6 linked regions of the Ovis aries genome follow. The protein of the gene in region 1 purifies or fractionates together with the protein of each later gene. This does not show direct contact. Links are inferred from orthologs where the notes say so. Each region holds a gene or a part of one and is shown in the gene's direction. Other genes may lie near its edges.

What was found.
Region 2: the proteins of KAT5 (region 1) and SIRT1 purify together in Homo sapiens (affinity purification with western blotting; 3 studies listed by BioGRID). This does not show direct contact. The link is inferred for Ovis aries from reciprocal best matches to the Homo sapiens genes KAT5 and SIRT1.
Region 3: the proteins of KAT5 (region 1) and MRGBP purify together in Homo sapiens (co-immunoprecipitation; 8 studies listed by BioGRID and IntAct, counting the BioPlex papers as one, with this or other methods). This does not show direct contact. The link is inferred for Ovis aries from reciprocal best matches to the Homo sapiens genes KAT5 and MRGBP.
Region 4: the proteins of KAT5 (region 1) and H2AZ1 purify together in Homo sapiens (affinity purification with mass spectrometry; 6 studies listed by BioGRID and IntAct, with this or other methods). This does not show direct contact. The link is inferred for Ovis aries from reciprocal best matches to the Homo sapiens genes KAT5 and H2AZ1.
Region 5: the proteins of KAT5 (region 1) and ATM purify together in Homo sapiens (affinity purification with western blotting; 3 studies listed by BioGRID). This does not show direct contact. The link is inferred for Ovis aries from reciprocal best matches to the Homo sapiens genes KAT5 and ATM.
Region 6: the proteins of KAT5 (region 1) and EPC2 purify together in Homo sapiens (affinity purification with mass spectrometry; 3 studies listed by BioGRID and IntAct, counting the BioPlex papers as one, with this or other methods). This does not show direct contact. The link is inferred for Ovis aries from reciprocal best matches to the Homo sapiens genes KAT5 and EPC2.

What each region holds. Positions count from the first base shown.
Region 1 is NC_056074.1:40,323,944-40,328,087, forward strand, and holds the end of KAT5 (histone acetyltransferase KAT5), read left to right. Parts: coding exon 1-67; intron 68-1,944; coding exon 1,945-2,104; intron 2,105-2,235; coding exon 2,236-2,317; intron 2,318-2,409; coding exon 2,410-2,544; 3' UTR 2,545-2,961; downstream 2,962-4,144. Other genes in the region: RNASEH2C (ribonuclease H2 subunit C), read right to left, coding at 3,321-3,527, 3,614-3,792, 3,984-4,144. UniProt on the Homo sapiens protein: Catalytic subunit of the NuA4 histone acetyltransferase complex, a multiprotein complex involved in transcriptional activation of select genes principally by acetylation of nucleosomal histones H2A and H4.
Region 2 is NC_056078.1:23,657,664-23,662,779, forward strand, and holds part of SIRT1 (NAD-dependent protein deacetylase sirtuin-1), read left to right. Parts: intron 1-1,947; coding exon 1,948-2,276; 3' UTR 2,277-5,116. UniProt on the Homo sapiens protein: NAD-dependent protein deacetylase that links transcriptional regulation directly to intracellular energetics and participates in the coordination of several separated cellular functions such as cell cycle, response to DNA damage, metabolism, apoptosis and autophagy.
Region 3 is NC_056066.1:54,280,556-54,286,289, reverse strand, and holds the start of MRGBP (MRG/MORF4L-binding protein), read left to right. Parts: upstream 1-1,782; 5' UTR 1,783-1,936; coding exon 1,937-2,084; intron 2,085-2,577; coding exon 2,578-2,699; intron 2,700-4,432; coding exon 4,433-4,514; intron 4,515-4,763; coding exon 4,764-4,838; intron 4,839-5,247; coding exon 5,248-5,435; 3' UTR 5,436-5,734.
Region 4 is NC_056059.1:25,066,519-25,072,259, forward strand, and holds H2AZ1 (histone H2A.Z), read left to right. Parts: upstream 1-2,423; 5' UTR 2,424-2,527; coding exon 2,528-2,530; intron 2,531-2,973; coding exon 2,974-3,051; intron 3,052-3,332; coding exon 3,333-3,446; intron 3,447-3,797; coding exon 3,798-3,927; intron 3,928-4,175; coding exon 4,176-4,237; 3' UTR 4,238-4,608; downstream 4,609-5,741. UniProt on the Homo sapiens protein: Variant histone H2A which replaces conventional H2A in a subset of nucleosomes. Nucleosomes wrap and compact DNA into chromatin, limiting DNA accessibility to the cellular machineries which require DNA as a template.
Region 5 is NC_056068.1:17,632,468-17,637,583, forward strand, and holds part of ATM (serine-protein kinase ATM), read left to right. Parts: intron 1-1,413; coding exon 1,414-1,648; intron 1,649-2,118; coding exon 2,119-2,286; intron 2,287-4,082; coding exon 4,083-4,196; intron 4,197-4,747; coding exon 4,748-4,965; intron 4,966-5,116.
Region 6 is NC_056055.1:160,798,038-160,803,153, reverse strand, and holds part of EPC2 (enhancer of polycomb homolog 2), read left to right. Parts: intron 1-1,449; coding exon 1,450-1,598; intron 1,599-2,275; coding exon 2,276-2,408; intron 2,409-4,506; coding exon 4,507-4,698; intron 4,699-5,116. UniProt on the Homo sapiens protein: May play a role in transcription or DNA repair.

The sequences.
Region 1 (4,144 bases):
GTGGCCTGCATCCTGACCCTGCCCCCCTACCAGCGCCGGGGCTACGGAAAGCTGCTGATCGAGTTCAGTGAGTACTTGCGCTGCTGCTCGGGGGCCGGGGGCCAGGGTGGGAGCAGGCAGGCCCAGGCCCCTGGGCTGTACACACAGACGGATGGGGCTGCTGTGTTCCCAGCCCTGGCCTTGCAGTCCGGTCACCGGGGGAACTGGCCAGGAATAAAGGTGGGCCCCTCCCAAGGTTCTCTCCGTTCTGCGGTGACTCCCCTGTTCGTCTGCACTAGGCTCTCAGTCCCTCGTAGTTCCTTGGCCATGGTGCTGAGCACCACTCAGCTGTTCCCAAATCTGACTCATCAGCCCCTGCCCAGGGCCATGGGCAGAAGCTGAGTGAGCCACTCTTGATCAGCTGTCTGGGCCTGTGCAGTTGTACACGTTCCTGGGCAAGGACCTGTGGCTCATTTCTCCACTTGTCGCCTGAGCCTTGCAGACAGTGGATGTCACGTCAACATGACTCACAGGGGACCTGGCCTCTGCCCTTTGTCAAATGTGAACTCTGCATTGGCCTCCAAGGCCCCTTTCGCTGCCCAGCCTCCTCCCCTCATTCTGTTCACCTCACTGTTCACTGCACCCTTGGGATAACCAAGCTCTGACCTGGGAGATGAGGAGGGAGCCTTGGCTCCCTGATGAAGACGTGGAAGCCTGACTTGATCACAGGTCACCTTGAGAAGTTTTATTGGTAGAAAGATGCCAAGATGGGGTCACATCTTCAGGAAGCCCTCTGTCTGGCAGGGCAGGAGGATGCTTAGGAAACTCAGCTTAAGCCTTAGAGCTCAGACCCAGTGGAGATGGGATGTGTGCGGGGCCACCAAGGAGACGTGCTCACTGTGCCTGGCAGGAGCAGACAGGATACCAGAAGCACCAGTTCAGGCAGCTCCTGGGGGCAGGGGGTATTCACTGGGAGGGGCCAGGAGTCCCTGCCACTAAGGAGGCAAGCGTGGCCTCCAGTTGATTGGTCAGGACTCTGCACGCACACCTGCCCAGCAAAGCTGAGTGAGAACTCCAGTGTGCCCCTTCTCTCTTCCCTGCTTCCTGCCTCCAAAGCAGAGGCCTCTCTGTCCTCCCCACCAGGCTTTTTGGTGGAAGTCACAGGAGGTTGGGCAAGAGGGTCAGACTGGCTAATAAAGACGTATCAAGGGGAAAGCAGAAAGGCTACGCTCCAACACAAGGCTCGTGATGACTGAGGGTGAAGAAGGGCTTCTAGAAATAGTGGAGACATCTCAGGGCCCTGATGGGAAAAATGACTCTGTCCAACAGATGTGAAACTGCTCAGGGTTTTGCAGGGCTTGAGGGTCTCACCAGGAACTGCCTGCTCAGTGGTCACCCGCGTAGGAGGGCAGAGCAGTAGAATTGGGAGGGAGAGCGCCCTGGCAAAGGCAGTTACTGCTGAGGAATGGCCTCCTCTGACTGGGAAGTGCTTTGGCATCACTCCCCTTAATTCCTCCCAGCCACCCAGCCTGGTCTTAGAGCCGCTGATGGTTCTCTGTTCACAGCTGGGGGACTGTTATGACTGAGAATCTGAGCATCCTCAGGCCTGGACCAGAGGTGGGGCCTGGCCCACTTTTCTCCTCACATACCCAGTGTGGTAGGACCGAGGAAAACTGGAGGCACTTTCTTTCCACAAGCCATTCTCTGCACTTCCCCGTCCCACCTGTAAGCCCTTGCTGGCTCCTGGTTGACTGTAGCTTCAGCACACAGCTGAAGAGTAGGCGTGCTAGTCCTTTAGAGCAAACTAAGGCACTGAACAGACAAGCCACATACCCAGACCACAGAACCACCACGTGGCAGGCCCAAGACGGGGCCATGCAGTCTGCCCGATCGCCTGCGTTCTTAAGACACTAGTGGCATAATACTGTGATCGTTTATCCACCTCCTCCTGCTCCATTGCTTTAGGCTATGAACTCTCCAAAGTGGAAGGGAAAACGGGGACCCCTGAGAAGCCCCTCTCGGACCTTGGCCTCCTGTCCTACCGAAGCTACTGGTCCCAGACCATCCTGGAGATCTTGATGGGGTTGAAGTCAGAGAGCGGGGAGAGGCCACAGATCACCATCAAGTGAGCCTGGCCCTGCCTACCCCGGGGTGCATGGCATGACCTTCTGTTCCCGGGCTTTCTCAATCCTTGGGCTACTGGGGCCTGGGCAGAGATGGAGGCCCCCAGGGGACCTGATCTTTGCCCTCCCACAGTGAGATCAGTGAAATCACCAGCATCAAGAAGGAGGATGTCATATCCACTCTACAGTACCTCAACCTCATCAACTACTACAAGGTAGGGAGGCAGGCAGGGGGAGACAGGTGTGTGCAGGGATCCCGAGTACAGGCCCGCCTGAGCTGACCTGCCTGGCCCCATCTCCCGTCCAGGGCCAGTATATCCTCACCCTGTCGGAGGACATCGTGGATGGGCACGAACGGGCTATGCTCAAACGGCTTCTTCGGATCGACTCCAAGTGTCTGCACTTCACTCCCAAGGACTGGAGCAAGAGGGGAAAGTGGTGACCGGACGCTGCCCGGGGAATGCCAGCAAAGGCAGCAGAACTGAAGCTGGCAGCCATCTCGCCCCCAGCAGGGTCTCCAAGAGGCACACCAAGGGAGACAGGGCTGAGGACCACTCCAAAAGGAGAGGACGGGCCTGGTCAAGGCTAGCTGGTGCCCAGCACCAAGGCGAGCTCAGGGCTCATGGCAACTCCACGGTCAGCTGGCTGCAGGCCCAGGCCTGCTGTGAACCAGGGACCAGAGGGAGCCAGGCAGCTGTGTATATAGTAAGAGGGGTGGGTGGGGTGCCTTGTACAGAGGACTGACGGCTGTACAAATTTCTTTTGTAAAGTAGGAGCTGGGGTGTGGTGGGTACTGGTTGCAAAATTATGGCCTCTTCTGCCCCATTGCCCCCTGGCAATAAATTGTTCCTAGAGGTCAGAGCTATGGAAGGTTCTGTGGGAGAAGGGGCAGTGTTGGCAAACTCACAGGTTCTGTGAAAAGCTCCTTTATTGGGTGAAGGACTCTGGCTTCACACTGGGGTGAGGGGTTCGGTGGCTTTCAATGTCAAGCTCTGGTTCTCAGTCTTCGGGTACCTGTGCGTGAATCTGCAACAGGAATCACCTCTACTATTGGATTTCTGCAGTATAGTGACTGGGTGGCCCAGATATTCAGAATCATAGCCCTTCTAGAAGGCCAGAGAAGAGTGCTGGGGAAGCCATGCTGTCCCTACCCAGTCTAATCCTCCAGTCAGACTGGGTCTCCATCTGCCCCATTGTTCGCCCCAGCCCCAAATTCACTCAGGCTGGGGTGGGGCCGGGGGTGGGGGGGGGTGGGTTCGGTGTTAGATAAAGCCTGGGAGGGAGAGGGCCCATCCATCTACTCACCGCTGCAGCGAGGCTGGGCCAGCTTAGGGCCCCACGCAGTTTGGCATCCGGACCAGGGATAGATTCCAGGCCCCACACGGTGAAGCTGCTGAAGCTGGCTGTGGCTCCCATAAAGCGGTCCTGGGGGCCGGGAAGGGGCCCTGGCTCAGCATCCGGGCTGCGGTTCCCACCCGGGCTCCCTTCCAACCCTATCCCCCAGTGCTCACGCAGTCCCGCTCCAGCGCCTCGGGGGGTTCCTCCAGTTCCTGCTCTTCTCGCTCGTGGTCATCCTGCTTCACCACCAACACTTCTGCCTTCTCTTCTGTCATCACATATCCCACGAAGTCGGGCGGCACCACCACCTCCTCGCCACGTAGACTACGGCCCCTAAACGACGCTTCCAGTCCTGGAGGAGGCAGAAGCAGGGAGGGCCTCTGAGGGTCTGACCCAGGCCTAAGGGAGCAAGCCCGGTGGCGGTCCGCCCGCCGCCTCCGGTGGACCACGATCCCCAGGAGGCCTGGCGGCGTTCCTCGCGGAGGAGAGCGCGATGCTGGCGCGGGGGCCGCCGGGAGCCGTAGTCCGGCCGCGAGGGCTCACCGTCGGAACCCAGGCGGATGGCTGGGGTGAAGAAGCGCCCCACCGGCGTGGGCCGGTTAACCGGGACCTCGCAGGGCAGAAGGTGCAGCGAGGCGGGGGCGGGATCGCGCAGTGTATCAGGGCGCAGGTGGACGCGGCGTTTGTCGATGGTCTCCTCGTAG
Region 2 (5,116 bases), on another chromosome or scaffold:
GAAAAAAAAAGGTGAGAATTTTAAAAGGTAGATGATACTTAGTGGGCACTAGGTTATAGAAGGCTTAACTGTAAGTTGGTGAAGTCTTCCACGGGGAAAACCAGAAAAAGCATAGAATACTTACGCTTATCAATGTGGCAAAAGTCAGAAGTAGAAAAATTGCTGTTGATTTAGTCAGGTAAGTCTCTGTTGTATACAGTCTGCTCGTGTGTTCGTCCTTTGTGTCTTGACTGGTTTTTTGACCCCATGGACTATAGCCTGCCAGGCCCCTCTGCCCATTGTATTCTCCAGGCAGGAATACTGGAGTGAGTTGCCATTTCCTTCTCCAAAGTCTGCTTCGGCACTCACAATATTCTTTGGCTCTTTGACAGATGGGTCAAATGTATAAAACTCTGCCCCAGAAAATTGGTATACCTTGGTTTTATTCTGCTAATTTAGACCTTTAAAGATACAGGCTTCAGAATTTGACTGCATTGTCATATCTACCTCTCATAGCATTGTGAGCATTTGAAAAGATAACTGATGAATGTAAAACTTAACACTTTTAACTGCTTAAACCAAACAACTGATGTTTACTCATTTTCGTTTGCGACCATTTGTAGTGAGGTCAGGGCTGAAAAGGAGGAAGTTGGAACATATAAGAAGTAAAATGTGAATATCGTAAAGGTAAGATTGCCAGTAGGACAGAAACAGGTACAGGGTACTTGAACTGAGAAATAGATTGTTCAGTTCTTCAGGGGGCCAGGGCAGAATGAACTGTTTTTTAATAAACCTGTAAAAGGGCAGGACAGCCATGTGCTGGGACCCCTTAGAAGACTGGCTCCTAGGATGTGATTTAGAGGAGATGGTCCTGTTAAAAATCACAAGATGTGGTGGTCTGCCAGCAGCTAGAATGCAGGTACTCAACTCCCTTCTCCAATCACTGACACACCATGTGGTTTTCATGGTGCAAAACATGGGTTATTCCAGAGTGAGAACTGGATCAAGATAGGGTCTTTAAAAAGCTTGGAAGTCATTTTGAAGAGAAACTTAATTACTCCAGATGAACTATGCAGTACTCAGCTTTTGTGAATCAGTCTGGGCTCTTAAGAGCCTTGACCTGGGAGAGTGTCACTCTGGCTTAGAGGAGAGAGGGGAAGGCTCCTCACCATGAGAGGTCAAATCTTACACTGCGAATGCTAATTTGGGAGGGCTTTGCAAAAGAAAGCTTAACAGTGCTTTAACTGTTAGGACTTTAACTGTTTAACACTTTAACATGATAGGACTCATAGAAAAATAGCTTCTGATTCAGAGGGTGGGTGGTGGCTGGATATTTCATCTCAACAAATCTCAAAGGAGTTGGTTAAGTAAGCCTCATTGAACATGGCTCTCTACAATTTTTTTTTTCATACTTACCTCATAGGGTTTGAAAATTACTTCATACCCAGATGAGGAAATTGAGGCATAGAGATAACACTCCCAATTTGCAAAGTTTGTGAGTGGCAGAACTAAGATTTCTACCCAGTACTGAGTGCTTCTATAGCTTGTTGTTGAGAAACTATATATAATAATAGCCTCTAGTAGTGATACTCGGAGAAGGCAGTGGCACCCCACTCCAGTACTCTTGCCTGGAAAATCCCATGGATGGAGGAGCCTGGTAGGCTGCAGTCCATGGGGTTACTAAGAGTCGGACATGACTGAGCAGCTTCACTTTCACTTTTCACTTTCATGCATTGGAGAAGGAAATGGCAACCCACTCCAGTGTTCTTGCCTGGAGAATCCCAGGGATGGGGGAGCCTGGAGGGCTGCCGTCTGTGGGATTGCAGAGTCAGACACGACTGAAGCGACTTAGCAGCAGTAGTGATACTCAGGTAAAAGGTTAGAACCTACGCTTGTCCAAACAGCACAATCATACTAAGTCTTAGGAAACTGGAAATAACCCATTTTTCTCCTATTACTGTATTTCAGATAATCAGTATCTGTTTTTACCACCAAACCGTTACATTTTCCATGGCGCTGAGGTGTATTCCGACTCTGAAGATGATGTCTTATCCTCTAGTTCTTGCGGCAGTAACACTGATAGTGGAACATGCCAGAGTCCAAGTTTAGAAGAACCCATGGAGGATGAAAGTGAGAATGAAGAATTTTACAATGGTTTGGAAGATGATGCTGATATTAATGAGAGAGCCGGAGGAACTGTATTTGAAGCTGATGGAGGTGATCAAGAGGCAGTTAATGAAGCTATATCCGTGAAACAGGAAGCAACATGCATTAACTATCCATCAAACAAATCATAATATAGTAATTGTCCAGGTACAGAAATTGTTCCACCAGCATTAGGATCTTTAGCATGTCAAATTGAATGTTTACTTGTGAACTCAATAGAGCAAGGAAACCAGAAAGGTATAATATTTATAGACTGGTAAAACAGATTTCCCCCCAATGGGTAATTTTTAACTTCTTATTTCTGTGCTTATACACTCAAACACTAACTTTTTTTTTTAAGGTACGTAAGTATCTTTAGTCAGCTATTGGACTAGACTTTGTTAAAGGTTCATTTGTATGATACATCGACATGTATATATAATTTTGTTTTTGCCTAGTGAGTTTCAACATTTCAGTCTTCAAAAAGCCATTGGAATGTTAAATTAATGTAAAGGGAACAGCTTATCTAGACCAAAGAATGGTATTTTCACACTTTTTGTTGTAACATTGAATGGTTTGAAATCCTCAAATCTGTTCTGCGAAACGTTTGATTCTTTATTAGCACAATTACCTATTTTTAAACACTGGCATTTTCCAAAACTTGTGGCAGCTAACTTTTTAAAAATCTCATGACATGCAATGTGAGAAGGAAGTCAACCATATGTGGGAGAGCACTCAGTTGTCTTTGCCTTTTTAAAATGAAACTTGGTGCTAACAGTTTCAGAAATGTATCGTTCAAATGAAGATGGCTTTTGTACTTCCTGTGGACATGTAGTAATGTCTATATTGGCTCATAAAACTAACTTAAAAAATAAATGCTTTGGAAATGTTTCAGTTGCTTTAGAAACAATAGTACCTGCCTGGGTCCCCTTAGTTTTGAGAATATTTGCCATTGTTGTTTAAACACCTGTCACTGTGGTAGAGCTTGCATTGATCCTTTCCACAAGTATTAAACTGCCAATGTCAATCTGCAAAGCCTTTATGAATCAATAATAATGGTACTTCAGCTGGGGAGAGTGTAATATTTGGGGCTGTTGCCTTTTTTGCCCATTAATGAGAGCAACAGACCCCGGTTACGGTTCCAAAGCCAGTAAGTACATGTTTCCTGTCGGGAGGACTTGGTGTTAAGAAACACCAAACATACTAGCCTAGTATTATGGAGATGAACGTGATGTAACTTGTAATAGCAGAATAGTTAATGAAACTAGTTCCTATAATGTCTTTATTTAAAAGCTTAGCCTGCCTTAAAACTAGAGAACAACTTTTTCAGCTGCAGAAGCTTCTAGCCTTTCAACAAAAGTTCATACTTTATAAAACTGCACAGTAATGATTAATTTTCCAGACCTTTCCCCAACATTGCTTTCAAAAAGTATTTTTATGTTGCTTTAGTATTTATTACAGTTTAACAAGAAAGGTTTGAAAAACAGCTGTTCTTAAGCTTAAAATATCCAGCTAGGACCATTACTGCCAGAGAAAAAGATTTTATTGAATGGCCATTTCCCTACCTAAAAGATGTTTCAATCTGAATTTGACTACACTAAAGAATGCAGTATATTTAGTTTTCCATTTGCATGATCTGTGTGTGTGCTATAGATGATATTTTAAATTGAAAAATTTGTTTTAAATTATTTTTACAGTGAAGACTGTTTCCAGCTCTTTTTATATTGTACATAGTCTTTTATGTAATCTACTGGCATATGTTTTGTAGACTGTTTAATGACTGGATATCTTCCTCAATCTTTTGAAATACAGAACCAGTGTTTTATACTTGTACACTGTTTTAAGTCTATTAAAATTGTCATTTGACTTTTTTTCTGTTAGCTTACACTGTTTAAGGTAAAAACTTTAAAAATTGTGCAGCTTTTGTACAGCTTTGAGGGCTATTAGATGCTACATTTTTTTTTTCAGTTTATATACAAGTTAGTACTAAAATAGTACTAAAAGTGCTGGTTGTAGTAACTGGTGAAAGTGAAGTCAGTCGTGTCCAACTGTTTGCGACCCCATGGACTGTAGCCTATCAGGCTCCTCCGTCCATGGGATTTTCTAGGCAAGAGTGCTGGAGTGGATTGCCATTTCCTTCTCCAGGGTATCTTCCTGACCCAGGAATCAAACCTGGGTCTCCTGCATTGCAGGCAGACGCTTTACCATCTGAGCCACCAGGGAAGCTCCTGTAGTAACTGTACATCACCAAAATGTCCTGTTCTAGACCAGGAGCCTTCCCCCTCTCACTAACCCTGCCTAAGAATAACTGGGAAAGGTTGAAGGCAAGAGGACGAGGAGGCAGCAAAGGACGAGATCTGAGCAAGCAGCAGAACCTGAGCAAGGTCCGGGAGATACTGGAGGACAGAGAGGAGCCTGGCATGCTGAAGTCCATGGGGTTGCAGAGTTGGATATGACATGAGCCTGAGTGAACTTCGGGAGTTGGTGATGGACAGGGAGGCCTGGCATGCTGCAATTCATGGGGTCGCAAAGAGTTGGACACGACTGAGCGACTGAACTGAACTAGCGACTAAAAGAATAGCTAATTTTTGACATGAAACACTTGACAAAGGACCAGGACTTTGGATTAGGGAGATGAGGTAATGGCGGGACTGTAGCGAACTCAAGACCAAAAGGAGCAGACGAAAAATGACTTGATCATATTTGGTGTGGCCTTTCTTAGGCTACCCAGAAATCTAGTATTCAGGAGGGTAGAAACGTGCCCCTTTACAGAGATGTAATGAATAAATGTGGCCATTTCCTGCCTTCGGGTCTCTTTGAAGGGAATGAAACAATCCAAAAAACTCTCTGCCCCTGTATATCTTGTTTGCACTAGAAAAAATACCTGTGAAATTCCATATATGCACAAAATAGGAAAGTAGTTCTTAATGAGGGTGTCATTTCGAATAATTGAATACCTAGCAAAACCTGACTTAAAGCCATGGATTCAATG
Region 3 (5,734 bases), on another chromosome or scaffold:
CATCTGATTCATCACAACCCAGAGGCTAAAGGTGCAGGCACAGTGTTCAGATTCCTGAATCCGGCCTCAGTCTGGCTCCAGTTGTACTCATGTCTGTGGGACACAAAGAAATGAGCCAAATCACTGGGATTAGGCAAAGTCCTGGCAGCTGAGCATGGCATTTAGCTCCACCCTGACACTGGGCACAGAGGTCGGCTTAATACTCATGGGTAGAGACAGTCCCACACAAACCTGGTGAAGCAGACAAATGGGCAGTACCCAGGAGGCTTCATGTAAGAAAGATGTGGAGAAGGCAGTTTCCTTTTGCCCAGATCATCCAACCTGTCTTTCTGCATCGAGTCTGACTGAAGATACACATTCTAGGATCTGCCTGGAATGAAAGGAACCGGGTGTCTGTGGACCACAGCTGCTGGCTGAACACAGCTCAGCTACAGTGGCCACCAGAGAGAACGAAAACACAGCCCAGCACCCAGGTGACCCCAGGCAGGAGGAAGAGATTGCATGAGAGGCACAGATGGGCTGAGGCTGTCTTGTGGGCATCAGGGGTAGCTTCCTAGAGGAGGAGGCTCTCCAGATTGAAGAAGGCAGGAATTGGGTGGGGATAGAATGAGCAGAAGGTGGACCTGGTGGAGGAGCAGGGACCCTGAAGTGTCTGGGAAGTGTAGGGAGATTAATGATGAGGGCCACTGTCTGTTAGTGCTTTCTGTGTGACAGAGCCCGAGTGAAGTGGCTTTGGGCTGTGCTCCATTCCACCTCACAGCAAGCCCTGAGGGGAGCCCCACTTGTGGGTCAGAGAGAGGAAAGAAGCACAGGCCCAGCAAAGTCACAATGTCCCTCCACATCGTGGCTCCAGGACAGCCGGTGGCACTGGGTCACTGAAATCCTCCCTGGGCCACATGTCCCCACTCTGTGGGGACTGGCATCACCAGCAGCGCTCTTCACACAAGGGAGGACAAGACTGAGTCCCCACTGTTCCGGGGGTGAGGCTGGCCAGAGCGGTTCCGAATGCCGGCTAAGAAGCGCGAGCGTGTGCCCAGGGCACCCCAGGATAAGGCGCCGCCGTTAGTTGCACTGCAAGGAGGACACCTGCGGCCTGGAGAGGCTCAGCGTTTTGCCTGGCTCACACGGCTGGCAAGCCGCAGAGCCAGAAAGGGACCCGGAAGGCCGACCCTATGTCTACACCCAGGGGGAGACGAAGAGCAAGAGCGCTCCTCGCCTTGGGTAACCGCCCGGAGCACCGCGTGGGCGTGGCCTGACGGAGAAGGGCCGGGGAGAAGCCCTCGGGGGCGGGGATGGGGCGGGGCGGGGCGGGGAGGAGCCGGCGGTCTTGATTGGGCGCAGCTTTGAGCTTGTCACCTGACTGCCCAGGCCGGCCGCCCCATTGGCCCCGCCCCTCCCGACCAGGGTTAACCCCCAGGGCCCAATGCTGGTCACCCTGGAGGCCCCAGGCGGGAAGGCTGTACCCCGACGTCCCTGCCCCGGTGTGCAGGAGCCTCTCTGTGCAGCGCTCAGGCCAAGGGTCAGCTGGAGGCAGTGGAAGCCCTTGGAGCCCCCACTCGCAGGAACTGTAGGTCGCCTGTTCTTTTTCTTCTTTGCTTCTTACTGAGGTGCAGCTTGCAATCCCGCCATCGTAAGCGCAGAGTTCAGCGGGGTTTACCCCGAGCTGTGCAGCTACGGGCACAATCTAATTTAGGGCATTTCCATCCATCTACGCAAACCCACTCCTTCGCCTGATCCGCCTGCTCTGCCGGCGCTGCGCCGCGAGACCGTGCCGCCTGGGGGCGCGGCGACCCAGCGCTCAGCTGCGCCTGCGCCTGCGCCGCGGGAGAGTCCGAGAGCGAGCCCGTCGAGCGCGCGCCCACGCCGCGAGTGCGCCTGCGCGGAGCTCGTGGCCGTGCCCGCTCCCGCCCGGGGCTCGTCGCTGGGCGGCGGGGCCATGGGGGAGGCCGAGGTGGGCGGCGGCGGCGCGGCCGGCGACAAGGGCCCTGGGGAGGCTGCCACCAGCCCGGCCGAGGAGACGGTGGTGTGGAGCCCCGAGGTGGAGGTGTGCCTCTTCCACGCCATGCTGGGCCACAAGCCCGTCGGTGAGCAGAGCGCCGCGCCGGGGCGGCCCACCCGCGTGGGGGCGGGGCGGCCGGCAACGGTCGGGGACGCGCGCTGGGCGGGGCCTCCTGCGCTTGCACCCCGCCGACCGTGCCCTCACCTGCGCACCCTGCCCCCACCTGCGCACCCCATCCATGCTTCCTCCAGCAGTCCCCCACTCCTGCCCACGCTGCCCCCTTCTATACCCTACCCCCACCCGACTCTGCCCCCTTCCTGTGCCCAGCCACCCATCCCGGCTGACTCCAGCCCTCACGTGCACCCCCACCCCTGTGCCCTCGTTACACCTCCGCTGCACACCCCTGCCTTTTCCTCTCCCACCTCTCTCCGCTGCACCTCCTACCTCTTCCACCCTCCACCTTTGCCTCCCTACACCCTTGCAACCACTGCCCGCTCTCTCCCCCTTGCCCCCTACCTCTTCGCTACCCTACCAGCTGGCCTACCCCTCCCCCACAAGCCGACCCCTTCCTTCTGCAGGGGTGAACCGGCACTTCCACATGATCTGTATCCGAGACAAGTTCAGCCAGAACATCGGTCGGCAGGTCCCATCCAAGGTCATCTGGGACCACCTGAGCACCATGTATGACATGCAGGCACTGGTGAGCTGGACCCCCGCAGACAGAGCTGCTGGCAGGGAGCCCCCTCCACACCGCCTACCCTGCCTTTGTCCCCACCCCCCCCACCCCCCACCACCAACCACGTCCTACCTTGACATCCAGGATGTCCCACAGGTGACCAGTTGTTAAACAAGATAGCTCTGGGTAGTTTTATGAAAACACAAGCTTGGTGACAGTAGCTAGTTATTGCACTGAATCTACCTTAGATTTTGGGGGGGAGTCGAGGTTCAGTTAAGATCTTTCCAGGAGATAACTAGGGAGCTGAGGCCTGTGTGGGAGGGGGCTCTTAGGTTGTCAGTCCTGTGGAAAACTCCCGAGTGCTATAAGCAGGGAGGTGACCGGGTCTGAGTCACATTGAGATGAACATGGTGGTTTCTGTGAGAACTAGGCCAACCCTCAGGGAAGACCACCCTCAGGGAACCCCCAGATGCTGGGTCTGAGGGAGAGCAGGTCAACTTGGTAACCAGGACAGCAGAAAAGACAGGTGGGTGTTCCCTGCAGAGGAACAGCAGGAGTCAGGGCCCTGTGGCAGCAGGCGTCAGGACTCGGGGCTGCACCCGCACCCCACCCTGTGCCCCTCCCTCCTCCCTCCCTCCCACCCTGAGCTTCTAAGTGAAGCTCAGACCCTCTTGTGTCCTTAACCCTCACCACCACAAGTTCCCTGTTGGCCTTGGGAAAGTCGTTTGCATCTCCTTGTCCCAAGGCAGAGAAGGAAGAGAAATGACAGTACTGCTCTGACCCCGAGCCTGCAGTTAGCACCCAGGAACTCGAGGTCAAGCTGTTGAACTGAAGCAGGCCGCCCGAAGGGCTGTGCCCACCCGTTGGGGCACCACTCCCCCAGAATTCCAGTGTTCAGCAGCTTGGCAGGACCCCCCATGCTTGTCATGTTGGGGTGTCACCTGGCCCCCAGACGCTTCCTGCATCTCCACTCCAGGCTGGGGCCCAAAGCTGGACACAGAGACAAGTATGGGAGGGCCCCTGTCCTGAGGGGCCTTTGGTGCGGTAGACAGGACAGATGGCTCTCAAGTGCAGACGCTGGCTCAGAGGGTGCTGAGGCAGTGATGCCCCGTACAGGGTACGGTGATACTCTGCTGTGGGGGCCACCAGGGAGGCTCTCAGTCCAGGACAGGTGGCCCTTCCTTCCTCAGTTCCTTGGACCCCAGCACCGCTATAGAGCTGATGCCATGGTCACCTGGGACCTTGTAAATATGGGTCTGTGGATCTCACCCCACAGGATGACCGTGGGCCCAGGAGCTCTCGGGGTTTGTGAAGCTCCCAGCTGGCAGGTGGCACACTTACTCACTGACCACCTGGCTTGCAGCTCAGCTCCCAAGTTGGGGACTAGAAGCCCTGTCTCCTGAATCCCCTCCCAACCCAGAGACCCTTCCCACCAGCTCACCTTTCCCTTTGTCTGGTGGTGGTGTTTCTGGCTCTCTGTCCCTCCAGGCCTACGTGATCTGGGGAACAAGTGGAGCCTGGCGAGCATTCCTGGTGGCTCCTCCATTTTGCTTTGTTTGCCTGGTTTCCACGAGAGAGAACAAAGGCCTCAGGCCCCACGCCTGCCCACTGCAGCCCCTCGGGACAGCCATCTGTGCTCATTGGTCACTCCTGAGTTGGCTCTTACATCTCTAGTCACATTTTCTTTTAAATGTGATATTTAAAATCATATTTTCTTCTTTGCTTCTAAAAAAAAAAACACCCTTGTTTGTCATCAGCACGAGTCTGAGATTCTTCCGTTCCCAAATCCAGAGAGGAACTTCATCCTTCCAGAAGAAATCATTCAAGAAGTCCGAGAAGGTATGACTCGGGCAAGGGCAGATTTGGGAATGGGAAAAGGTGTCAGGGTGAAGGTCACGAGCCTCAGAGAGTGAGGGTCAGTAGTTGGGTGGTGCTCACCCTCCAGGATGGGGTGGTCTGGGGGCCTCCAGGACAGGGGCAGACACCTCCCAAGTCGTCAGCAGCCCTTGGCCTGAGCCACTGTGGTCAGACAGGGCCACGGCACTCAGCATTGCGGGCTCCAGGTCATCATTGGTCATCTCCCCACAGGAAAAGTAATCATCGAGGAGGAAATGAAAGAGGAAATGAAAGAAGATGTGGACCCCCACAACGGGGCTGATGATGGTAAGTGTGGAGCTTGCCCTCCCACCCTGGGGCCCCAGGGGCATGGACCCTAGCCCAGCGAGGCCTCCCCATCACTAGCAATGGGGTCATTCGTCTGTCTCAGCAGCTGAGAAGGCAGCTTCCATCTGCTCGGAGAGAGCCTCTCACACAGGGGAGTCACTCTCGGAGCCAACCCTGGGGGGTGGGGGTGCAGGAGGCTCCCTGACTAAAGTAGAATGGGTGGCAGCCTTCTCAGTGCAGGGTGAACCCCGAGAAGCAAAGATGGGCACAGCCATGCAGGCACCCCCAGCTAGGGAGGAGCCTTTTGGGGTCAATGTCATGTACATAGGTATAGATTTTTGTAACTGAACAGGAAGATGAAATAAAATTTTGGATATTCTGTTTTCAGCCAAATGATTTTGTCTCCCAGTTTTTTCATCTTCAGGAAGCTTGGGGAAAGCAACAGAAAAGTCCAGCAAAGACAAAGAAAAGAACAACTCAGACTTGGGGTCCAAAGAGGGGCCAGACAAGCGGAAGCGCAGCAGGGTCACCGACAAAGTCCTGACCGCCAACAGCAACCCCTCCAGCCCCAGCGCGGCCAAGCGGCGCCGGACGTAGATACTCGCAGCAGGCGGGTGCTGTGGTCTCCAGGCAGTGGGAGGGTCAAATGCCACTGGCCCTGCTGCCTGCCCTCAGGGGCCAGAGGCTCCTGAGGTGCCACTCAGACCGTCTGAGCTCGGATGGCCCCCAACGCCCAGGACGGGTCCCACTCAGATGCTGAGACCCGGGACGTGAGAGCCCAGGCCGCGTCCTCTCTGGACACTCGTGGGTTCCATCGCATTGGCTCAGCTGCACCTGGGGCCAAGCGTTGGCATGGGCCTGAGGACCAGGCTGCGTGGGCGGAGAGCGGGCACAGC
Region 4 (5,741 bases), on another chromosome or scaffold:
ATTACTCAGTCTTCCTTCAAGATTTTACATCCTTGTCTTGGTTTCAGTGTTACATGGTTTTAGGGTTCATACCTAAATGACATACATCAGCTTTATGACATACATCAGTCTTCTCACAAAAATTTTCTCTTTTATGATTTGGCTTTTACTCCATGCTAAATTAGTACCTTCAAATTGAGGAACACTGTATTCTCCCCTTCTCAGAAATAGTGATGGGTTTCTCAGTGCTGCAGAGTAAAGTGTGCTTTCTTTCCCCAAGATTTAGGTTGTTGCCTTACTGTAACAGTTAAGATCCATTTCAGCAAGTGATAGGCAATCTAAAATTAAAGTGGGGACTTCCCTGGCAGCCCAGTGGCTAAGACTCTGCTCTCCCAATGCAGGGGGCCTAGGTGGGTTTCAGGCTTGCATTGCGGCTTTTTACTTTCATGTCCAAGGAAGACGGTGTGGTAGACAGAGGAAAAGATTTAGGAATCAAAGATACTTTATTTCATCCTTCCCCACATCCAATGCAGAGGACACCATCATTATCATCTGCTGCTATGTGACAAACACACGTTGGAGCATACATTGCATACCTCTCCTTTACTCTTTCAACAACTACCTGAGAATAGGCGTTACTGTACTCTTTTCATCGAAGAGAAACTTGAAGCTCCAAAAAGTAACTAAGATGACACACTGAGAAGGAAGCAGAGCAGAGTTCTCGTCTTCTTGCTCCAGAGCACATTCTCTTAAGCACGGTTCAGTGAGGCAACAGTGAATTCCTTTAGCTGGATCTCATAGGAAAGAGTACATATTATCCAAACTGGAAAAGGTATTAATGTCGGTTTCTAAAGTACATATCAGGAAGCCTCAGCAGAGCTCAGAGTAACTATTACATCAGGTTTCACAGTTTTTAAATGTCATTGTAACAATTCAGTGGGAGAACTGATTAACTCTTGCTACTGATTACAATGTAAAAATTTCTCATTTGTAAGGGGAAGAAAATAACAAAACTCTCTGTCAAATTGTTGGGAACTCCTTCACTGGAACTTACTTATCTACCAGCTATGGAAGGGTCCTCTAATTGGATAAAATCTTTCAAACTGAAACTCAAACTACAGTACTTGAGAATACATATATTAAAACTTTTGGACATCAGAAATATATTTAATATGTAATACACTATTAAATGCTATAAATATAAAAGACAGATCATTACTGTCTTCAAGCAGCTGGACATGTACACAGGTGTTATTAATCTATTAGTTGGACGACTATGTAGCTGGCATTATGATAGTGCTGTGTGTACAGTACTATTTTTTAAGCCCATCATTTGCAACTGATTACATGGACCATCTGTAACTGTCCTTGAATCACGTTAGAAGTTACCCCACTGACATTTACAGAACATTTGTCATGTAGCAAACTGTTTAGCATAGAAAAGTTGATACAGAATAGCTTTGAGGTTTCATTAAATCAACTTTAGACACCAGGCTATAGGTACAACCCATTGATGTGTAATCTCCAGAAAGACACGGGTTATGATTTGATTGAAGAATATCGTCTCACTCCAAGCCCTCTAGGGGTAGACTGAAGTGTCTTTTCTGACCAGCAAGGGGGCTTTCATCACCGTTTTTCCCGTGAAAGTATCCCACTGGGGTGGAGGGGGTGGTTAAGGCATTCAAAAATGGTGAGGAAAGACGAGGGAGTTAGAACTGAAAATGACGTGGGAGCAGTGGATCATGATCAGTCGGTGGCTCGAGACTCGCCCAGGGGGGTTAGAAGACTGAAATCACTATCAAGACTGTGGTCAGGGAAGGAATTGGGGCTCCTCTCACCGGACGCGTTCGCGCCACCTGTCAGACTGAAAAAGCTGGGCGATGCTGAGGGTACCAGGGAAAAGAGTACCCCGGGCCTCGGGAGAAGGCTGTGGACTGCTGGGTCTCTGCCTTCGAGGCGCTCATTTGGAAGGGGAGGGCAGGAAGTGGGGCGCGCTAGACCCCGCGGAGACTTCACGTGGTCTCTGGAATCAGGCTAGGAGACGAAGGCGAACGGGTGATGGTAGGGTGCGCGATACTGCGTGCCCCTCCCCTGAGCCTCTCAACTCCGCCTCTCGGACACGTGACCACAGCCGGGGCGGGGTTGGGGGGGGCTCGCCTAGCTCCCGCAGCATAGCTCGCTCTGTTTCTTCCCTCCCGCCGCTGTGCCCTTCTTCTCCCCAGTTCCAATCCCTCCGCCCTCCCCCCCTCCTTCCGCATGCTCCAATAGGGATTCGAGCTGTGAAGCGCCCGCCCCTCCGCCCTTTTCTTCGCTTTCTCATTGGCTGAAGCTTCAAGGACGCGTCCCGAGGGCGGGGGGCAGCCATTGGTGGGATGAGCAATCCGAGTTCCCGGATGAGGGAACATTCTGCAGTATAAAGGGAGCGGGGAAGGCGGGAGACAGCGCAGTTTGAATCGCGGTGCGACGAAGGAGTAGGCGGCTGGTTCTCGCTGGGTGTCTGACTAGTCCTTTCTCTGCTTTGCTTGTTTGAGCTTCAGCAGAATTCGAAATGGTAAACTTGGTGGAGACGCTCGAAGACTCCGCGGGTTTTTGCCGGCGGGAGAAAAACCCGTTACACACGGAGATGGGGGTGAAGCGGCGACGGTTGGGAACGCGCGGAGACAGGATTTGGAAGAGCAAGGGGAGGTGTTTTGTCGGCGGCGAGCGGAGCAGCCTCGGATCTCGCGGCGGGCGGTGACGGTTGGGTGGCGCGCGCAGCGCCGCTGGGGGCCGGCGGGCGGCGAGCAGGCGGACCGAGGCGCGCGGCCGCGCCGAGCGCGCGGCGGGGGACGGGCGGGCGGGGTCGCCCTTGCGGCGCGCCGCGGGCCGGAGACCCCGGCTGGGCACGGGGCCGCGCTCGCGCCCGAGCCGCGGCGCGGTGGGGGAAGGGCGCGCTGCTCTGGTAATCCTATATTCTGCGTTCCTCCTTCGCTCGCGGGCGTGTGCGCGCCGCAGGCTGGCGGTAAGGCTGGGAAGGACTCCGGAAAGGCCAAGACAAAGGCGGTTTCCCGCTCGCAGAGAGCCGGTTTGCAGGTCAGTGGTTGTTCGTGCATTCTGGGAATCGTGGCGTTTTTCTTTCCTTTTCCTCTCTTGTTTATCATCGCTCTAGATGAGCGTTTCGTCTTTGCGTGGGTGATAGTGTCGCGACTTGGTTTACCGATGCAATAAATATCGGGGGGGGGCGATCACGTGTGTCTGTGGTGGGGCGCGTTGCTGCACCGGCGTCCATGACCCTGCCTTTGGCGCGCGTATAATTAATTATCTTTGGCTCGTCTATCTTTGTGCATTTATGTTTGTGTATGCTAAAAACGAAGTTCCCAGTGGGCCGTATTCATCGACACCTCAAATCTAGGACGACTAGCCATGGACGTGTGGGCGCGACTGCCGCTGTGTACAGCGCAGCCATCCTGGAGTACCTCACCGCAGAGGTAAATGGGTGTACGCCTATAATCTGGAAAAGGTTGGGAGGGGGTGGGGGGAGGCGGCGAGAGGGAAGGAGGAAAGTGATGCAAGAAAACTCCCAGGCTCTGTACGCAGCGAGAAGCTTCCGACAACGCTAGAGGGGGCTGGTGATCATGATGGGGATCCTCCTGAGCTTGACTTTGCGGCCTTAGGAAATAAAATTGCGTGCCCTCTTTATGGCTTTTGCTTATCTTGCCATTCAGGTAGTGGGGGAGATGACAGTTGGTAGATATACCTTCATCATGAAGGTTTGATTCTTGTCTGGATCTTGACGTTAATGAAAGTTGGAAGGAGATTGATCGCATTTTGCCTTCTAGGTACTTGAATTGGCAGGAAATGCATCGAAAGACTTGAAGGTAAAGCGTATTACCCCTCGTCATTTGCAACTTGCTATTCGTGGAGATGAAGAATTGGACTCTCTCATCAAGGCTACAATTGCTGGTGGTGGTATGTAAATATTAACTTATAAATTTCTCTAGAGAAAAGAATTTGCTTTTAAATTTCCCTCTAGTAATTTTCAGTCTAAAAGAGGACACAGTATATTTTCATTGATCTGTAGTATGGTTGCATCATGAAATTTGATTTCTCTTACGTACTTCTGAATTTTTACTCTGCGCTTACATTGAAAGACATCTTCCAAGTTGAACATTAAACTCTTGGTTTTAAAGTAGTATGTTATTTTATCCCTTTTCTAGGTGTCATTCCACACATCCACAAATCTCTGATTGGAAAGAAAGGACAACAGAAGACTGTCTAAAGGATGCCTGGATTCCTTATTATCTCAGGACTCTAAATACTCTAACAGCTGTCCAGTGTTGGTGATTCCAGTGGACTGTATCTCTGTGAAAAACACAATTTTGCCTTTTTGTAATTCTATTTGAGAAAGTTGGAAGTTTAATTAGCTTTCCAACCAACCAAATTTCTGCATTTGAGTCTTAACCATATTTAAGTGTTACTGTGGCTTCAAAGAAGCTATTGATTCTGAAGTAGTGGGTTTTGATTGAGTTGACTGTTTTTAAAAAACTGTTTGGATTTTAATTGTGATGCAGAAGTTATAGTAACAAACATTTGGTTTTGTACAGACATTATTTCCACTCTGGTGGATAAGCTCAATAAAGGTCATATCCCAAACTAGTTGTGTATAAAATTTGCTTGATTATAGTAGGAACAGCTTTGTTTTGAATAGGTATCTTAGCTAGCAATAACTTAAGCACATTTCTTCCCTTGAAATTACTGTTAATTCTGTCTGTAGATCAACAAAGTTAAAAGGCCCAAGTTTTTTTTTTTTAAATACATTGTAATGAACTATTAAAAGATTTTAAAACTTCAGCACAAGTTGATGTTTTTTAGGCTAAGTTTAACCATCTGAGTTCATCAGCTTTGTTTGCTGTTTGTGATAGCAGCAAGCACTACACCAGCGCACTGTGGGGACTTGGGTGGGGTTGGGGAGCAGAGGCCAGGTAGGAAGGTCCTATATGCAGCTGCCTACACAGTCTAAACTTTTCAGTTTAGACTGATAATGTTTGCAGTGTGCTACACGCTCTTTTGAAGTTTACTTGCATTAAATTGTTCAGTATATGGTAACATCTTTGGGGAACATACTATTCACATTTAACAGAGAATCAAGATTTTTTAAAGTCCTGAGTTACCATGTTTGCTGCTATGGCAGACAATATCTTTAGTGAACAACGTGTGAAAGTAGTTACTTTGTAATTAGGTTAAGTGGATCATTTTGACACTTTCTGGCAACTTCTTAATACCAAGCAAAAGGTGGGCCCTTTGCCTCCACTGAGGATACCAGCATGGCAATTATTTCACAAGGGTGATGATTAAAATTAGGTATACCAAGTTTACCTATATGAGGTAATACATTGCCAAAGAGCTGATTCCTGTCCTGTTTTGGTCATGGTTAGTAGCGTTTTGGTTTTCACCAGAATAAGTGCAAACTACAAATTAAGTGTTTGTACTTCTTGGGATGTACTAAGAGACAGTTTAATGGCACTGAGTCAGAAAGAGTATGAATGAAATAAGGCAATGAAACGGGAATTAGGGTCAAAGGACACCCTACTGGGTTCCTGAACAGCTGTGCCGGAAGCGGTGCCCAGGGACTGGCAGCCCGGTCCTCAACTGACCGAATTCTCCCTAGTCTGACCTAGGCTGAAGGGGGCCGGGGGTGGGGCCTTCGATCCCTGGGGATTTTCCTGAAAACGAATGTCCCCAACCCCACTCGTCGGCCGGTCGCCAGGAAGGCGGGCTGCCGC
Region 5 (5,116 bases), on another chromosome or scaffold:
GCAGGCAGATTCTTTACCGTCTGAGCCCCTAGGGAAGCCCAAATATTAATAAGTATAATCAGGGAGGTCTGGCATGCTGCAGTTCATGGGGTCAAAGAGTCGGACAGGACTGAGCGACTTGAACTGAACTGAACTGTAAATGAAAGCTGTTTAGGAGTCTTCCATAATTTGTAAGAGTGTAAAGCAGGGGTCCCCAAACCCCGGGCTATGTCATGTTAGGAACCAGGCCGCGCAGCAGAAGGTGAGCCAGCAGGCAAGCAAGTGAGGCTTCATCTGTATTTACAACCTTTCCTCAAGGTTCGCATGCAGGAGCCTTAGATTCTCATAGGAGCACGAACCCTACTGAACTGCACATGCAAGATATTTAGGTTATGAGCTCTTATGAGAATCAACCCAAAACCATCCACCCCACCAGCTCCCCAGTTTGTGGAAAAATTGTCTTCCACAAAACCCATCCCTGGTACCAAAAAGGTTGGGGAGTGCTGGTATAAAGGATTTCCTGAGATTAAAAAATTTGAGACTTGCTGCTCTTAAGATCATTTTGGGAGGAATTAAAGTTTTGGTTCCTGTGAGTTTGTGTTACTGTTTCGTTCTTCATCAAGCAACTAAAAGAACTTTCATTTCCTACATCACCTTAAGGTCATCATCTTAGTTTCCCTGCTTCATTTATCTTGATTTCTCCCCGTATAGTACTCCTGAAGGATTGGACAGTATTGCTTAATTTGAACACCTGGGAAGCACTCTGCTCATATGAACTAATTGTACAAGATGTATTTTCTCTTCCTTTAATAAATAATATTGGTATATGAAACCTTTGCCAGATGCCAGCATTTCCTTCATTGGATTGTGCTTGCTTTAATAGCTACAGTTTTGCAGAGTCATGCCCTGTGCCTGATGGGTACGGTAGATAATGAGTTTATTTCATTTCCTTGGTGACGGTCCTCTTTGAGGATCATTGAAGTTGTACTAGAGGTGTAGATGTTCTGAATGAGAGGCCTGATAAATGCGTTCTCATTTCAGAAGAATGGTAATTTAAAAGTGCTGCTTTTTGCGAGGTTGAAGAGTATTTTTAAGAATACCTTAAAAGTAGCATCTATATAAAAATATTGAATCGCTCTTCTATATACCTGAAACTACTATAGTATTGTAAATCAACTATGCTTCAATTTTAAAAAGAAAGAAAATTTTAAAATGTTCATCGTCTGTTGGGTTCTCTGCTGACTGACCTTCCGAGGTCTGACCATATTGTAGATTTCTAAACTTTGATTCTTCTTTTGGTTTATTTTAGAAGTTCCAGTCATGTTGCTGCAAAAATTCCTTTAGTGTTTATTAAATCTTAAGTTTTAGAACCTGCATAATAGCACCCTTTTTTCATTTCTGTTGCTAATGTGAACCTTGTGGTTTGGCTTTCAGATCGGTAACAGATAGGCAGCCCTCTGAAGTGTACATGAAGTGGTGGAAACATTCCCAGCTTCTCAAAGACAGTGATTTTAGTTTTCAGGAGCCTATAATGGCCCTACGCACAGTCATTTTGGAGATCTTGATGGAAAAGGAAATGGAAAACTCCCAAAGAGAGTGTTTGAAGGACATTCTCACCAAGCATCTCGTAGAACTCTCTGTATTAGCCCGAACTTTCAAGAACACACAGGTAATCAGATTTAAAACTATGTCATCTCACTCGTTGACCTTGCCTTTTTATTACCTAGAAAATAGAAAGCATAAGTAAAAAGAAATGTCATTGAGAGACAGATTGCTATTATAACATTGTATAGCATAGTTGTTTAAGATTTCTCCTTTTGGAATTAGACCTGAATTTGAGTCTTGCACAAGTCTTTCTCTAATCCTCAATTTCCTGGTTAAATAATGAGGAGCTACCTAACTTTCTATATGTATAACATTTCAGTGATTGTATATACTGTGTATAAACACACACATAATTATATGTGTCTCTATGTAAAGAGAAAAACAGATAGGCAGATATGGGGGCTAGGGAAGGCAGAGATGCACTTACAAGACAATCTTAAAAATTGTCAAGTCCTTACTGCTTTTATCAGTAGTAGTAGAAGTAGTAGTAGTAATAGTAAAAATGTTTATTTCCATTTTTTATTTTCATTTCAGCTCCCTGAAAGGGCAATATTTCAAATTAAACAGTATAATTCAGCTAGTAGTGGAGTCTCTGAGTGGCAACTGGAGGAGGCACAAGTATTCTGGGCAAAAAAGGAACAGAGTCTTGCCCTGAGTATTCTCAAGCAAATGATCAAGAAGCTGGATGCCAGTTGTACAGAGGTTCACTTTTTTTCTATTGGTTGAATTAGTTTTTACTGTAATAAGAAAGATTACTGTGCTTTATAATATTTTAAATAAAATTTAATATAATTACTAATTTTATTAAAGATTTGAAATTACTGATCCATGAACAAGAAATTATAAAAAGGAGTCTTGAAAATTAGTATTTGTAAAAGTTTAGACAGTATTCAGTTTTCCTATTTACAACATTTCTATCAGTCCATCTCATCATAGATTAATTCATCCCAATTATAAGCCTTATTTTTTTAAAACTTTCTACAGTAATCAAGGAGGGTGTGTGGGAAACAAAGATGAAATAGACACTATAGATCTGAAATGACAAAAAGTGCAAGAGGAAATGCATAAGAGAATAAAACTTTTTTTAAAAGGCAAGTTGAAATAATTAGGTGGTCAATTCAAAGACCCTGAAAACATCACATCTGATATTTTATCTACCATTACCTATAATGTACATATATATTTTATATTAGTTGTTATAAACTTGATTGCTTCTTCAACTCTGTCTCCAGCATATGATGGACAAATTTAGCAGCATTTGTAGGAATCATGAAGTATTTTAAAGGTTTGGACTCAGTGATATCCCTCTGACATATACCTACTAGGTGAATATCAACATTTTGTACTTTTGGATAATGGAAACTTGTAGAACATCCTCCTTTATTAGAGAATGTATCATTATACCAAGCCCTGGGAGCTCACATGGTATGATTTTTTAAATATTGCTTAACAGTATGGACCCTGAAAACTAAGATCATGGCATCCAGTCCCATCACTTCATAGCAAATAGATGGGAAAACAGGAGAAACAGTGTCTGTCTTTGTGTTTTGGGGCTCCAAAATCACTGCAAATGGTTTTGGCAGCTATGAAATTAAAAGACCCTGCTCCTTGGAAGAAAAGCTATGACAAACTTAGCATATTAAAAAGCAGAGACTTTACTTTGCCAACAAAGGTCCATCTAGTCAAAGCTATGGATTTTCCAGTAGTCATGTATGGATGTGAGAGTTGGACTGTAAAGAAAGCTGAGGGCCGAAGAATTGATCCTTTTGAACTGTGGTGTTGGAGAAGACTCTTGAGAGTCCCTTGGACTGCAAGGAGATCTATCCAGTCCATCCTAAAGGAGATCAATCCTGAGTGTTCATTGGAGGGACTGATGTTGAAGCTGAAACTCCAATCCTTTGGCCACCTGATGTGAAGAGTTGACTCATTGGAAAAGACCCTGATACTGGGAAAGATTGAAGGCAGGAGGAGAAGGGAATGACAGAGGATGAGATAGTTGAATGGCATCACCGACTCAATGGATAGGATGTTGAGTAAACTCCAGGAGTTGGTGATGGACAGGGAGGCCTGGCGTGCTGCAGTCCATAGGGTCGCAAAGAGTTGGACACAGCTAAGCAACTGAACTGAACTGATGGACCCTGAAGTTACCTACCCTCTTTGTACTTCAGTTGTAGTTTTCTAATTAAGGATAATAATTGTTCTTATTTCATAGGATTCTTGTGAGGATTAACTGAATTATTATATATTATTTTATATAGTAATAATGCCAATCATATAAAAGTACTCAATATATGTGAGTTGTTTCAATAATAGTAATAATAGTACTAGTAGTAGAGAATGATTATTTTATAAAGGTAAATATTTGGAATTATTAAAATAGTTGTAAGTTGAAAGCAAATGATGAAAGACATTTTTAACCTGTTTTTTTCCTACATGGAAGATATTTTTGTACAGTCATGATAATGAATTACATTTTAAGACTTTGCTTTCCTTTACAGAATGATCCCAACTTAAAACTTATATACACAGAATGTCTAAGAGTTTGTGGCACTTGGTTAGCAGAAACTTGCTTAGAAAATCCTGCAGTCATCATGCAGACCTATCTAGAAAAGGTAAGGTTTTTGAGGAACCCTAATAGAATCGCTTAGCATAAATACATTTGATCTTTTCATAGAAGTGAAATGAAGTGAAAGTTGCTCAGTGGTGTCCAAGTCTTAACAACTCCATGGATTGTAGCCTGCTAGGCTCCTGTGTCCGTGGGATTCTCCAGGCAAGAATACTGGAGTGGGTTGCCATGCCCTCCTCCACGGGATCTTCTCAACCCAGTGCTTCTACCACCTTTGAGCTTCCTGTTTCTCCCTCTTATTCATATAGTTTAATTTTTAAAATAGCTACTTTACTAATAAATGAACATGAAAAGCCTAATATGTTTTTTTAGTTTTATAGAGCTTTATGTTTTTGTACCATTCTTTACACATATTAGCTATTTGTTGTTTCTGCTCTGTCAAAATTGTTTTGAAAACTCAAAGTACTGTATTTTGTATAATTTAGCTTATATACATATATATATGTTAAATTTTACTGTGGATATTTCTTTGATCTGAGTAATTCTTTAGATGCATTTAGTATCTGTAAATATAAATGGATTGTTTTTTTCTTGAAGGCTGTGGAAGTTGCTGAAAATTATGATGGAGAAAGCAATGATGGCCTGAGAAATGGAAAAATGAAGGCATTTCTCTCATTAGCACGGTTCTCAGATACTCAATACCAAAGAATTGAAAACTACATGAAATCCTCAGAATTTGAAAATAAGCAAGCTCTTCTGAAAAGAGCCAAGGAGGAAGTTGGCCTACTTAGGGAACATAAAATCCAGACCAACAGGTAACTGAGGGTCTACAAGTAACAAGATATACAGTATTTATACAGGTATACAGAACCAGATAGGAATTCATGCTGTGGCTCTATACTAATTGTGAAATATACTGGTGTTAACTTTTTGTTTTGCTTTTTTAGTTTGTTTGTTGGTATCATA
Region 6 (5,116 bases), on another chromosome or scaffold:
TTAAAAGGTTCTGGTGCACTTTTTCTTCAGCTGCTGTTATTTATCTTTAGAACTTGTATTTCTTTCATTCTTATTAGACTTTAAGCCTTTTGAGGATAGGGGACATGTGTAATACTTTTTACAGAGAGCAATACTGAAATATTCAAGTATTTTGTACTTTAATATTTGCTCTTGGTTATGTTCACTTTTTTTCAATCATAAGGTGCAGCTGCTCCCTGGTTACAGAATATTTTGCTTAAAACTGTGCTTTAGATTTTTGTCTTTTGTAACATACTTTACTGAAGGGGGAAAGTGATATATTTCCTTTGGATAAGATTAAAGTGTGATTTATTATTAATAGTATCTTTTAATATTCAGTATGCACTACCTTAATGAGATTTAGTTTAAGTAATGTTTTATAGGTAATGAGTAATTTTCAAATACAAGAAACTACACAAAAGAAAAAAGTAAAACTTTGTATCTTCCTCAAGTTTTATTTTCTCTTTTATAATCCTCCGATATGAAACCTGGCTTTCTTTGGGTTCAGATTTCTAATGTCACACTGCTTTATTAAGTCAAGTATGGAAAGCTTGCTTAAATGCAGTCTGTCTGAACATATAGAATGAGGAGTGGCAGTGGTCTATTTTTAAACAGATAGTTCCACACTTAATAGAAAGTAAGAATTCTGTGGCTGTTTGATTGAACAAAATATTTTTATTAACAGTAACTTTTATATGCACATGATGCTGGTAATTATAACTGAACCTTCTCTAGTTATTAGTTTGAACTTTTACCTGTGAGTTAGTTCAAGTTACTTTTGACACTTCAAAGTAAGAATTTATAATGAAACTCAGACCTTTTACTAGTAGATCTCTTTTCTACTCTGCAGTGAGGTTTTACTACGTTCAGCATGGTAATTCCATTCCTTGAGATCCTTTATATTCTGTAATCTATTTTACATCTGAGTTTTTAAAGTGAAGCTTTGCTTGTCATTGTGAATCTTTACATTGTAGTGTATTGAACTGTCCAGCCCACTATTAAAAGGCTGAATGGATGAATAGCAGCTCAGTTTGGCTGTTTTTAGATAACCTTGATTTAACAGAACTGTTTCTCTCTGTCATTGAGAAAGACCTTGTAACAATAAGAAAAAATTACATTTTTTGATAATAGTAGTTTTTGTTTCAGGCAGACTTTAAAAATTTTATTTATATTGGAATTATCCCATCTATGTCATTCCATCTTTTCAATAGCTGGCAACTTTTTTTCCTGCATATTTATTGAGATATTTGCTTTTTTGTTTTTAGTTAAATGGCTTGTCTTAATGTAATTGCTATTTAGATGTGTGTGTGTGTGTGTGTGTAAGTGTAACATTTTGCTTTTATAGAATGAATTTGGGTCTGATAAGATTTTGATGAATGAAGCTGGAAATCTGGACAGTTGGATTTATTCTTTTAAACTTATTTTGAATAGAATCGAAAGAATGATGAAGCCTCTTATGAAAAGATGTTGAAACTGAGACGAGAATTTAGTAGAGCCATAACAATTTTGGAAATGATTAAGAGAAGAGAGAAAACAAAACGAGAATTATTGCACTTAACCTTAGAAGTTGTGGAAAAAAGGTAACATTGCTGTTCTTACATACCAGTAACGCTTCAGTCAAATGAAAGGCAAAATGTAACCAAATTTCAGCTTTATAACTACTGAGATTGATTATCTAACAATGTCTACATTTTTTGAAAATTGTGATTGCTGGTTTTTGCTTTTTGTTTTTAAACCATTAAGTTGCCAGTTTGGGTTGCAAATTTGGGAGATATTTTTGTGAATAGTATAGATCCTCTGTTACACTTAATTTCTTGTTGTTGCAGAATCATTTAATTGTATTTAGAAAAGAACTTGGAGATCGTATAGTCCCATTCTCTGTATTAAAGTTTCTATTAAAATTTGAGAGAAATAAAGTTTAATTGATTTTATTTTTTGATTAGTTAGGAAATACTTGTTTTGGTGCATTTTGAAAATGTATTCACCAATGTAATAATCCTTTTCCTGAAAATACGAAATATATGAAGAGTCCATCTTCTGTGTATCTTAGAGATTAGGAGAGGGAGTTGTTTTGTTTTTACTAAATCCCAAATATGAGCTTCTTTATTCCCATGCGTTTTCTCTCTTAAGAATAATCCGATTAATTGTTGGCTCTGTTTGATTAGTTGTGTTCCAAGTAAATGATATATCATTGGTTTTCTATTTCTTTTTTATTTTTGAACGGTAAGATTTTCTTATATATTATTTCCTTTTCAAGATATCATTTAGGAGACTATGGTGGTGAAATCCTTAATGAAGTGAAGATCAGTAGATCAGAAAAAGAATTATATACCACTCCAGGAACTCTTCATAATGGAAATCATCACAAAGTCCAAGAATGTAAAACTAAGGTGAGTATCTTCTGGGGAGAAGCATGTATGATAATATTGACTGGACAATTGGTTTCTGAAATTATCTTATAATAGTTTGGTTAAGAAGGAAGATTACTAACATTTTTGAGTTCCTACTTTTTGCACTTTGCTAGGATTTTTTATATGCATATTGATTAATCTTACAACATCCCTTTGAGGTAGATTTTTTACCTCTGTGTGACTTTTAGATCATATAGTTATTAAGTGGCAGATTTAAGATTTTGAGTCTAGGTCTTAAAACAAAAACCATGTGTTTTCAACTATGCTATCTTGTATCCCTACAGAATAATGGTAATTATAGCTTAGTTATTATCACTGCCTTAGCAAATCCTGCATTGTGATGGCAGGCATCAAAATTAAACCTGTCTTCATTAAGACTATTCAAAGTTACTGTCCTCACTATTGCCATAACCAGCATTTATCAGTTGCTGCTTATCTTGACTTGAAAAAGTCCTATAACTTCTAGAACTCAGTTTTTTCCTAATAAAGAGACTAGTGATTAGTTTCTTAGCCTGAAGAGTCACATTTATTCATTATTCACTTGGTATATAAAAGCATTCAGTTGAGAAATGCAAAAAGTAATAAAACCTTTGAAGAGCTTAGATTTTTAAAAAGAAACATGTTATTGGCTGAGTTTTTAGACAGTAGAGCTCTACTGTGTAGCAGGATTTTAAAAATGGCTTAGGGTGTTTGTGGAAAATTCATCTTTTAAAAATGTGCACAATCCTCATTTTTCATGGGTTCTTTCTTAAAGGTCAAGGAAGAATGTGGAGTAGGGAGACTCCTCCATTATTCAACTGTGTCAATTCAAACACCAAAGTTCTTTCTTATTAATCACAGGCATCTAGCCCACCTACCCTTTAAATCACACTTACTTTGCCATAAACCAGACAATAAATGTCATTTTGTACATTACTTTTTAAAATCCAGTTCTAAATCAATGCTTTTCCTAGGTATATTATTGATAGGCAGAGAATATGAAAATCTCAACCCCAAATTAGTGCAGAATCAGCCTTTGTTATATGTTGATTCTTAATCTTAGATCACTCTAAAATTAAACACCCACACTATTTAAATACTAATTTTAGAAATATGATTGCATTTCACATAGTTAACTATATTTCATTTGTCACACATCCTTCTTGAAAATATAAGTAATTTCTGAGAAGTTGGGGATTTCTTTTTGATGTCATAGCCATGCCCATTGTATGAAAGCATTTATATCTCAATAACTCAGTGTTTCAGCAATGTTTTCATTATGTATAACATTTTTGACCCTAAAGTAGTTTTAATGAAAATCTGAGCTACTTGAAAAAATGTAAAACTTCCTAAATACTTTGACACTTTGTTAGCGCTTGTAATTTGATGCTTAGAACAGTAATTTTCAAACTTTTTAAAGTAGATTCTTATTTATTAAAAGGAATGCCAGTATATTAAAACAGAAACAGCTGCTCTCTTGAGGATAGCTGGGTTCTAAACTCCACCCATCTCTGCCAGAGATGTCTCTGCCAGACAGCCTCTTGTATGCCACCAAAGAACTCTAGGGTACTTGAAGACAGTTTGATTATTGTTCAGCTGAGGTGGTAATTAATTCTAAAAAGTGAACTTTTCTGTCTCAGAAAAGTTATTCCACTTGTAGATATTTTTTAAAATTGGAAATAAGCATAGAAATGAATTAATGTATTTATAATCTAATTCAAGTCATTTTAGAAGTAAAAATAGTTAATTTTCATCATTAATCAGTAGACTTAAATAAAATTAAAATAGAATTTAAATACATTTTAAATACTGGATTGCATAATAATAGAGGAATTTTAAAAAATCACTAATATCTTAGTTTAAAGTATTGCTAACAATATAAAGTAAATTTAAATGTCATAATATTTTTCACTATAATTTGTGAAAGCAAAGCACTTTTTGGCTTATCATCAAATAGTAGTTTCTGCATATTAAAACCAGAAAATAAATTACCTCCTGGGTAAAAATGTATGTTTTTTCAAAGAGCAGTATAGTTTTTTATGATTTCTAAAATTATTTTCATTTCTTCCTTTTGGGGGAAAAATCATCATGTAAACAGCACCCGCATCATTTGTCTTTGAAAGAAGAGGCTTCTGATGTGGTTCGTCAAAAGAAGAAGTACCCAAAGAAGCCTAAAGCAGAGGCTGTGCTAACATCTCAGCAGCCCACTCCTGAGACCTTGCCTGTGATCAATAAGAGTGACCTTAAGCAATATGACTTTCACAGCTCAGAGGAAGATGAATTTCCACAGGTGCTTGTTTTAAAACTATTTTACAGACATTTTCTTCTAGTCTTTTATATTGCTCTATTTTAAAACATAATATCTTAGAATTTTGATTCTTGCTTTCTTCACCTAATGTTATAACATAAACGTTTTCCGCATTATTTATGTAGTTACTGAAATGGTTTTTGCTTTGTTATTTTCTATCAGTTGAATATATTTTATTTATTTTGTATAGCATTTAGGTGGTTTTAAGCTCTCCCTTTTATAAAAATGAGCATCTCTACCTCGTCCCTCCATATTTGAAATAGATGATTAGAAACAGAATTCCTGAGCTAAAGATTATAAATATTTTAAGACATTTAACACATAATTGTAAACATTCACCAATAATAATTCCCATATTCCATCAGCATTGTATTTTACAACTTTTAATGAAAATTTTGCT